Oryctolagus cuniculus: one gene and its partner. The protein of the gene in region 2 binds, or shares a complex with, the protein of the main gene of each other region. Links are inferred from orthologs where the notes say so. Each region holds a gene or a part of one and is shown on either strand. Other genes may lie near its edges.

Region 1 (4,257 bases), on a different chromosome or scaffold from region 2:
AAGTGAACCAGCGGACGGTTCCCTCTCTCTGTAAATCTTTTTGTTTGTTTGTTTTTAAGATTTATTTTATTATTTATTTGAAAGGCAGAGTTACAGAGAGGCAGAGAGAGAAGTCTTCCATCCATTGGTTCACTCCCCAAGTGGCCTCAATGGCCGGGGCTGGGCTGAAGCCAGGAGCTTCTTCTGGGTCTCCCACATGGGTGCAGGATTTGGGCCAGTCTTCTATGCTCTGCCACAGCAGAGAGCTGGATCAGAAGTGGAGCAGCCGGGACTCAAATCAGCGCCCATATGGGATGCCAGGACTACAGGTGGCAGCTTTACCGGCTATGCCACAGCGCCGGCCTCTGTAAATGTATTTTTTTAAAAGATTGATTGATTTATTTGAAAGGCAGAGTCACAGAGAAGCAGAGGTAGAGAGAGAGACAGAGACAGAGAGGTCTTCTATCCATTGGTTCATTTCCCAAATTGCTGCAACATCTGGAGTTGGGCTCATCAGAAGCCAAGAGCCTGGAGCTTCTTCTGGGTCTCCCAAGTGGGTGCAGGGACCCAAAGACTTGAGCCATCTTCTACTGCTTTCCCAGGCCATAGCAGAGAGCTAAGAGTAGACGGGACACAAACCAGTGCCCACATGGGATGCTGGCACTGTAGGCAGCAGCTTTTACCACTACACAGTAAAATGAGCGGGCTGACTGAGCCACCTGTGTGCCTCAGAAAATGTCTCTGTGGGTCACCCCACCCCAACCCCAGTCATCAGACTCATTCCTTGGTCCCATACCAATCAATGGAGCAGAGCAGAATAGGAAATGGGGACCCAGCTCATGCCAATTCCTGAAATAGATGCAAAGGCAACAGAAACAGCAGAGCCTCGCCCCTCCCGTTCACCATGCCCTCCCTTGGTCCCAGGGTCTTCCCGTCTCACAGTGGCTTCCAGGTCCTCTGTCTTGTTGCGCAGCTGGTCCAGGTTTTCTCCTCGTGCCAGGATCCGCTCCACATTCTGGGTCATTATATTCTTGACTCCCTCCACCTCACTCTGCAGGTTCCGCACTCGGTCATCTCCGCCTCCGCTGGCCGCCTCCTGCGCACAGCACAGGGGCTAATTAGGCCAAGTGACAGAGGACCAGAGGGAGACCCAGCCACAGAGGCCAGGGCAGTGGAAGGCCTCAGGTGGACGTCAGCCTTTACAATGCTTGCATTGTTTACAAACTATCTTTTCCTGCTTTAATGCATCTGTAAGCCCCAGCAGGTGAGATCTGATGCTGGACACCATCACTCAAACTTTCGGGTTCCCAGGGCTCCTGGCAAGGAAGAAAGCAGCATGGCTAACTCCCTCTCGGCTGCTTCCTCCTCCTCATGGGGTCGCAGGCACTGCAGAGCTGGCATCTCACAATGTCCCCCTCCAGCGCAGACCCCCCGCGATTTACCAAGTCCTAGAGCCCTCCCTTGCTTCCTGGACCCCCCTGAGTCTTCATTAAACCTGTCAGTGCCAGCCAGCAGGACGCCCCACCTGGCCCAAGCCTGCTCCGGCTCCCGGACAGCTGCTGGAGGATTGCTTCGGCTCCGGGGCTTCCTGGACAGCCTGACCCTAGTTCCATGGCTATGACCCAGAGCCAACAAGTCCCTCACACGGCGCCATGATCCGCTGAGCACACACTTCTGCTTTCCCCACCTCTCAGCAGAGCCTGTGCAGATACTAAGTGAAAACAGGCACCTGGGCGCTGGGGGAAATGGAGGACAAGTGCTGCCCGCCTGCTGCCTGCCTCATCCTGCAGGGTTCATGATAAGGTTTTTGATCAAGGAGGGAAAACAGGCCTCCCAGCCTGGCCCTCGGGGGGGGGGGGGGGCAGAACCTTGCCAAGGGTGTGGGGCGAAGCTGGATTATCGCAGAGAACCAACTTATGGGTCTTTTACAGGCCCCCGGCTGCTTCCTTAGACGCGGTACAGAGGGATCCTTTGGGTTTCTGCATAGGGAGAAAGCGGGAGGCCCGGTGGGAGAACTCCCGCCGCCGCTGGCCTGGAATCTGAGCCGGGAACAGCAGAGGCGCTTGCTGTCCAGCGGTGTCACAACACCCAGTTTGTCCCTGCCAGGGGAGGCGGGGGCGGGGGGCGGCAGAAAGTGGCAGCAACTCTTTGCCTGGAATTCGGACGCCCCCCCAACCCCCACCGCGGCCCTGCTCGGGGCCAGCACGGAGGCCAGGGGAGGGAGGTAGTGGGGCAGGGACAGGAACACCGCCCAGGCGGCTCAGAAGTATTTGCGGCCAAGTTGTCAGAGAGGCCACAGACAGCGCCGGCCCCAGCCCTCTGACTTCACCACGCACCCTCCCCTCTCGGCAAGGCCAAGCCCCAGTCCCCAGCCCCCTTTAGAAAGCAGCCCCCGTCCGGATCGCTCACCATGTCTGCGAGTCGCTGGGGCCCGTCAGCGGCGGAGCTCACCCAGGCTGCTTCCTCCCGGGCAGCCCTCGCTCCACTTCCTGCTTGCTCCAACTTTCAGCCCGCCCCTGCCCACCTCCATCCCTGCGCTCGCGCCACACCTAACGCAGGTTTCCTCAGGTAGGCGGGCTCCCGCCCCCGCCCTCCCAGTCTCCACCCAACCAGGGCTTAAACTTAAAGCCACAAGGCTCCCCGGGAGGGCACCGAAGGTCTTGCCACTTGCCAGAAACGACAAAGCAAAGATCAAGCAACCTTCCTAGGTTTCCTGAGGCGGGACAGACTCCTTTTTATGTCTGGGATGTCTTAAGCACCCTGCGGGCCGAGATCACGTGAAAACAGGTGCAGAGGTGACAAGATCTTGCCGAAGCCCTTGTACTTAGGACTGCAAACACTGGGAAAAGTCTGGAATGCTGTCACCCCAGGCTCGGGTGTCAGAAAGCTCAGGGTTACCGGCTGCATGCTGCCTAGTGAACTTCCTCACCTCTTTCTGTATTGCAGGTGCAAAGGAGTAAAAGACAGCTCACACAATGTGCCTGACAGTGCCTTGAACAAAATAAGTAATCAGGAAATGATGGCCCACCAGCCCTTCCCCTTCCCTTCCCAATTGCCTTGCATGTGCCTTGGGAGGACAGTGTGTGTGTGTTTTGGGGGAGGTTGCTGACCCTATCAGTGGTCAGAGGACAGCCCAATGAACCAGACAGGGACGACCCAGGGCAAAGGATTTTTCCACCAACCTGGCCCTGGGCCAGAGAAAGGCCAGAAAAAAAATCCTCTCTTCCTGGATGGTGTTTATCAAGACACAAGAACAGTAACAGGGACCTGCAGAAGGGAACAAACATTCTTGCCTCTTCCCAGAAGAAATGGCAGTTCCAAAGAGGAAATATCAACTTCACCAACACATACTTTTAAAAAGAGAGAGAGATTTATCTGAAAGGCAGAACACCAAGAGAGGACAAGAAACAGAATAAGAGTGATCTTCCATCTGCAGGATCATTCTCCAAATAGCTGCAACAGCCAGGTCTGGGCCAGGCTGAAGCCAGGAGCCAGGCACTCCATCCAGGTCTCCCATGTGGCTGGCAGGGGCCCTGGTACTTGGGCCTTCCTCTGCTGCCTACCCGAACACGTTAACAGGAAGCTGGATATAAAGTGGAGCAGTCGGGACTCAAACCAGTGCTTTTAAAAAGTCTTTAATACATTTTGTCTTGAGACATCTTTTTTCTAACTTAAATACAATTTTGTCCCCAATTAGGTTGTAAGTTTATTAGATTATACAGACATGAATTTTAGTGGCCAGGACAAATAGCCTGGGAAACAAAGTGTGTACCAGCCTGCTTTGGCAAAGAAACATGGCTGCCTCACCCTTCTCAGGTTGCCACAAGGCCAGGTGGAGGAGGAGTGGAATTCTTAGTCTCTACTTGTGTCATCCAGACCAGTTGCCATTAACCACTTGGGCTGTTGAGTACTTGAAATGTGGCCAGTCTGAACTGAGATGTGTTGTAAATGTAAAATACACACCAGAGTTCAAAGACGTAGTATGAAAAGAAGAATGGAAATATCGCATTCATAATTTCATATGTTGATGGCATGTTAGAATAATGTCTCGGGGGGTGAGTATTATGGCGCAGTTTTTAAACCACAGCTCAGGACACCTGCATCCCATATCGGAGTGCCAGTTTGAGTCCCGGCTACTCCACTTCCCATCCAACTTCCAGCTACTGCCTGGGAGGCAGCACATGAAGGCCCAAGTGCTTGAGTCCCTGCCACCCACATGGGAGATCCAGATGGAGCTCCGGGCTTCTGGCTTTATTCTGGCCCAGGCTTGCTGTTGCA
Region 2 (3,549 bases):
CTGGCTTCTGGCTCCGTATCACACAGTTCCAGCCATTGCAGCCATCTTGGGGAGTGAACCAGGGGATGGAAGATCTCTCTCTCTCTGCCTCTCCTCTCTGTGTAACTCTGACTTTCAAATAAATAAATCAATCTTAAAAAAAAAATAAACTAAATGAACATCCTACCTTTCCTGTGGCACAGGTTGAGCATCCTAGCCTGAACACCTAAAATCCTAAATGCTCCAAAACCCTAAACCTTTTTAGAAAAAGATTGATTTATTTATTTGCAAAGGTAGAGTGGCAGAGGGAGAGGAAGAGATTTTCTATCTGTTGGGTCAGTCCTCAAACGACCAACAATCAGGGCTGAGCCAGGCTGAAGTCAGGAGCCAGGCTCTATGTGGGTCTCCCAGGTGGGTGGCACAGACTCCAGTACTTGACTCGCTGCATCTCTGCTGCCTCCCAGGAGCATTAGCAGGGAGCTGGATCAGAAGCAGAGCAGCCAGGACTTGAACTGGTGCTCCATCATCGGATGTAGGTGTCCCAAGTGTGGCTTAACCTGCGGTGCCACAACTCCTGCCCTGCCCCCAATCTGAAACTTCTTGAGCGCTGCTGAGTTTTAGATCTTGGAGCATTTTGGAATTAGGAATGCTCAATTGGTAAAGTCTATGCAAATATTCCAAAATCCAAAAAAAACTAAAATCTGTAACACTTCTGTCCCAAGCATTTCTGATGAGGGATACTCATCTATAATTAAAAGCAGCCAAAGAAGGCCGGCGCCGCGGCTCACTAGGCTAATCCTCCGCCTAGCGGCGCCGGCACACTGGGTTCTAGTCCCGGTCGGGGCGCCGGATTCTGTCCCGGTTGCCCCTCTTCCAGGCCAGCTCTCTGCTGTGGCCAGGGAGTGCAGTGGAGGATGGCCCAAGTACTTGGGCCCTGCACCCCATGGGAGACCAGGATAAGTACCTGGCTCCTGCCATCGGATCAGTGCGGTGCGCCGGCTGCAGCACGCCAGCCGTGGCGGCCATTGGAGGGTGAACCAACGGCAAAAAAGGAAGACCTTTCTCTCTGTCTCTCTCTCTCACTGTCTACTCTGCCTGTCAAAAAAAAAAAAAAAAAAAAAAAAAAAGCAGCCAAAGGAAAACCCAATTCTGTTATGAGAAAGAGTGACAGGGATTTAAAGTTAGGGTCGGGGCCGGCATTGCAGCATAGCAGGTAGGGCTGTCACCTGTGATGCTGACATCGCTTATGAGTGCTGGTTTGAGTCCCGGCTCCTCCACTTCTGATCCAGCTCCCTACTAAAGCACCTGGGAAAACAGCAAAGATGGCCTAGGTAATTGGGCCCCTGCACTCACGTGGGAGACTCAGATGAAGTTCCTGGCTCGTGACTTGAATCTGCCCCAGGCCTGGCTGTTATGGTCATCTCGGGAGGGAACCAGCAGATGCAAAATCTCTGCTTCTGTCTCTCCCTCTTTCTCTCTTTGTAACTCTGCCTTTCAAATAAATGAATTAATAAATCTCAGAAGTAATTAATTAAAATCAGGGTCAAGCTGGAAAATCTGCGCGAAGTGGTGGTTGGGCCTAAGCCAGACAAATCAACCCTGGTGCATCTACGGGAGTAGCCCCAGGGCATTGCAGAGGCCTGCTTTCCTCCCTGCAGTGTCCGATCCAGACGCCCGGAGCCTCCCCCACCTCTTCTCTCTGCTACCATTACTGGCTCTTTACCAACATTCCTTTCTTCCCAGACCCACTCAGCTTCAGGGAAGACTACAGCCCGATACAGCAGAGTGCTGGTTTGAGGACCAGCTCCTCTGCTTCAGGTCCAGCTTCCTGCTGAGGCTCCCAGGTGGCAGCAGACAACGGCTCAAGGCCTTATTGCTCTGCCACCTCTGTGGGTGATTTGTATGGAATTCCTGACTCATGGCTCCAGCATGGTCTAGCCCTGGCTGTTGTGGGCATTTGGGGAGTAACCCAGTGGATGGAAAAATCCCTCTATGCCTTTTGTATTATTTTTTAAAATATTTGTTTTTATTCATTTGAAAGAGAGTTATGGAGAGACAGAGAGAAATTTTCATCTGCTGGTTCACTTCCCAAATGGCTTCAATGCCTGGAGCTGAGCAAATCCGAAGCCAGGAGCTTCTTTCGGGTCTCCCACGTGGCTACAGGGGCCCAAGGACTTGGGCCGTCTTCTACTGCTTTCCCAGGCACATTAGCAGGGAGTTGGATTGGAAGTGGAGCAGTCAGGATTTGAACCAGTGCCCATATGGGATGCCAGTGCTGCAGTCTGGGGCTTTATCCTGCTGTGCCACAGTGTCTGCCCCTGTATCTTTTAAGTAAATGAAAATAAATAAAAAAGTGAAAAGCAATGGGCAAATTGAATTATATGTAGAACACCTGGGTGGGAAAAATGACTTTTTAAAGTACAGATACTGCTGGGGCCAGCTCTGCAGTATAGCGGGTTAAAGCCCTGGCCTGAAGCACCGGCATCCCACATGTGCGCCAGTTCTAGTCTTGGCTGCTCCTTTTCTGATCCAGCTCTCTGCTACAGCCTGGGATAGCAGTACAAGATGGCCCAAGTGCTTGGGTCCCTGAATCCACGTGGGAGACCCAGAAGAAGCTCCTGGCTCCTGGCTTTGGATTGGCACACCTCTGACCATTGTGGCCATCTGGGGAGTGAACCAGCGAATGGAAGACCTCTCTATCTGTCTCTACCTCTCTCTGTAATTCTGTCTGTTAAATAAATAAAATAAATCTTTTAAAAAAATAAAGTACAGATATTGTGTAGGGAGTCCCTTACAGCCTGATCTAACTTTCTGAGGTGAACACTCTCAGTACTGGGGTGACAATCAGTATAGCAGGAATTTACTGGAAACCCAACTTATGCACAATCTGCAGACTAGGTGCCAATCAAATACATATAATCAGGCGTGGGAAGATGGGTTAACACAAAACCCTCCTGAAGTATAACTTACAGGCTTCCTGAATCCCCTCATGGCTCGGCCAAGGCCTGGAAGTCTTCCGTTCACGCCAAAGCCCACTTCTGCTACACTCACCTGCTGTTGGGCTGGGGGGTGCCGGTGCCATTCTGTTCAGGGGCCGCCTCTGCGGGTTTGGATTTGAAGTAATTGACAAGGCCCCCGAACATGCTCTTAATGCTGTTGATGTGCTTCTGGCTGGTCTTCAAATCTTGGTCCATCTTGTCCACCATCTTCTCCGTGCGTTCTAAGACTCCTCGCTGACGGACGAGCTCCTAGGAAAGACACGTGGCAGTTATCCTTCTGGTAGTTCTCCCTGGCCCATGAGAACCACATGTGGGTACTCCATAAATGCGAAGCACATGTCGGGGCAGACGCTGTCACCTGTGAAGGGCACGTCATCATTTTTTGCTTAAAAGATTTATATTATTAATTTGAAAGGCATAGTTAGAGAGAGAGTGAGCACTTCCATCTGGCTGGGTCACTCTCCAAATGGCTGCAACGGCTGGAGCTGAGCTGATCTGAGGCCAGGAGCTTCTTCTGGGTCTCCCACTGGGTTGTAGGGGCCCAAGCACTTGGGCCATCTCCCATTGCTTT

The links.
Region 1: the proteins of SNAP29 (region 2) and VAMP8 are in contact, whole or in part, in a crystal structure (PDB 4WY4), measured with the Homo sapiens proteins. The link is inferred for Oryctolagus cuniculus from reciprocal best matches to the Homo sapiens genes SNAP29 and VAMP8. Residues at the interface, in NP_004773.1 of Homo sapiens: Leu206, Leu209, Ser210, Leu213, Leu216, Lys217, Ala220, Leu221, Met223, Gln224, Ile227, Glu228, Gln230, Asp231, Leu234, Leu237, Thr238, Val241, Asp242, Leu244, Asp245, Ile248, Lys249, Thr251, Glu252, Val255, Arg256, Leu258; in NP_003752.2 of Homo sapiens: Leu16, Glu19, Val20, Val23, Ile26, Met27, Gln29, Asn30, Arg33, Ile34, Arg37, Asn40, Leu41, Leu44, Lys47, Thr48, Asp50, Leu51, Thr54, Ser55, His57, Phe58, Thr61, Ser62, Val65, Lys68, Phe69.

What each region holds. Positions count from the first base shown.
Region 1 is NC_091433.1:117,071,424-117,075,680, forward strand, and holds the start of VAMP8 (vesicle-associated membrane protein 8), read right to left. Parts: upstream 2,827-4,257; 5' UTR 2,392-2,826; coding exon 2,389-2,391; intron 1,076-2,388; coding exon 920-1,075; intron 1-919. UniProt on the Homo sapiens protein: SNAREs, soluble N-ethylmaleimide-sensitive factor-attachment protein receptors, are essential proteins for fusion of cellular membranes.
Region 2 is NC_091452.1:29,626,545-29,630,093, reverse strand, and holds part of SNAP29 (synaptosomal-associated protein 29), read right to left. Parts: intron 3,228-3,549; coding exon 3,031-3,227; intron 1-3,030. UniProt on the Homo sapiens protein: SNAREs, soluble N-ethylmaleimide-sensitive factor-attachment protein receptors, are essential proteins for fusion of cellular membranes.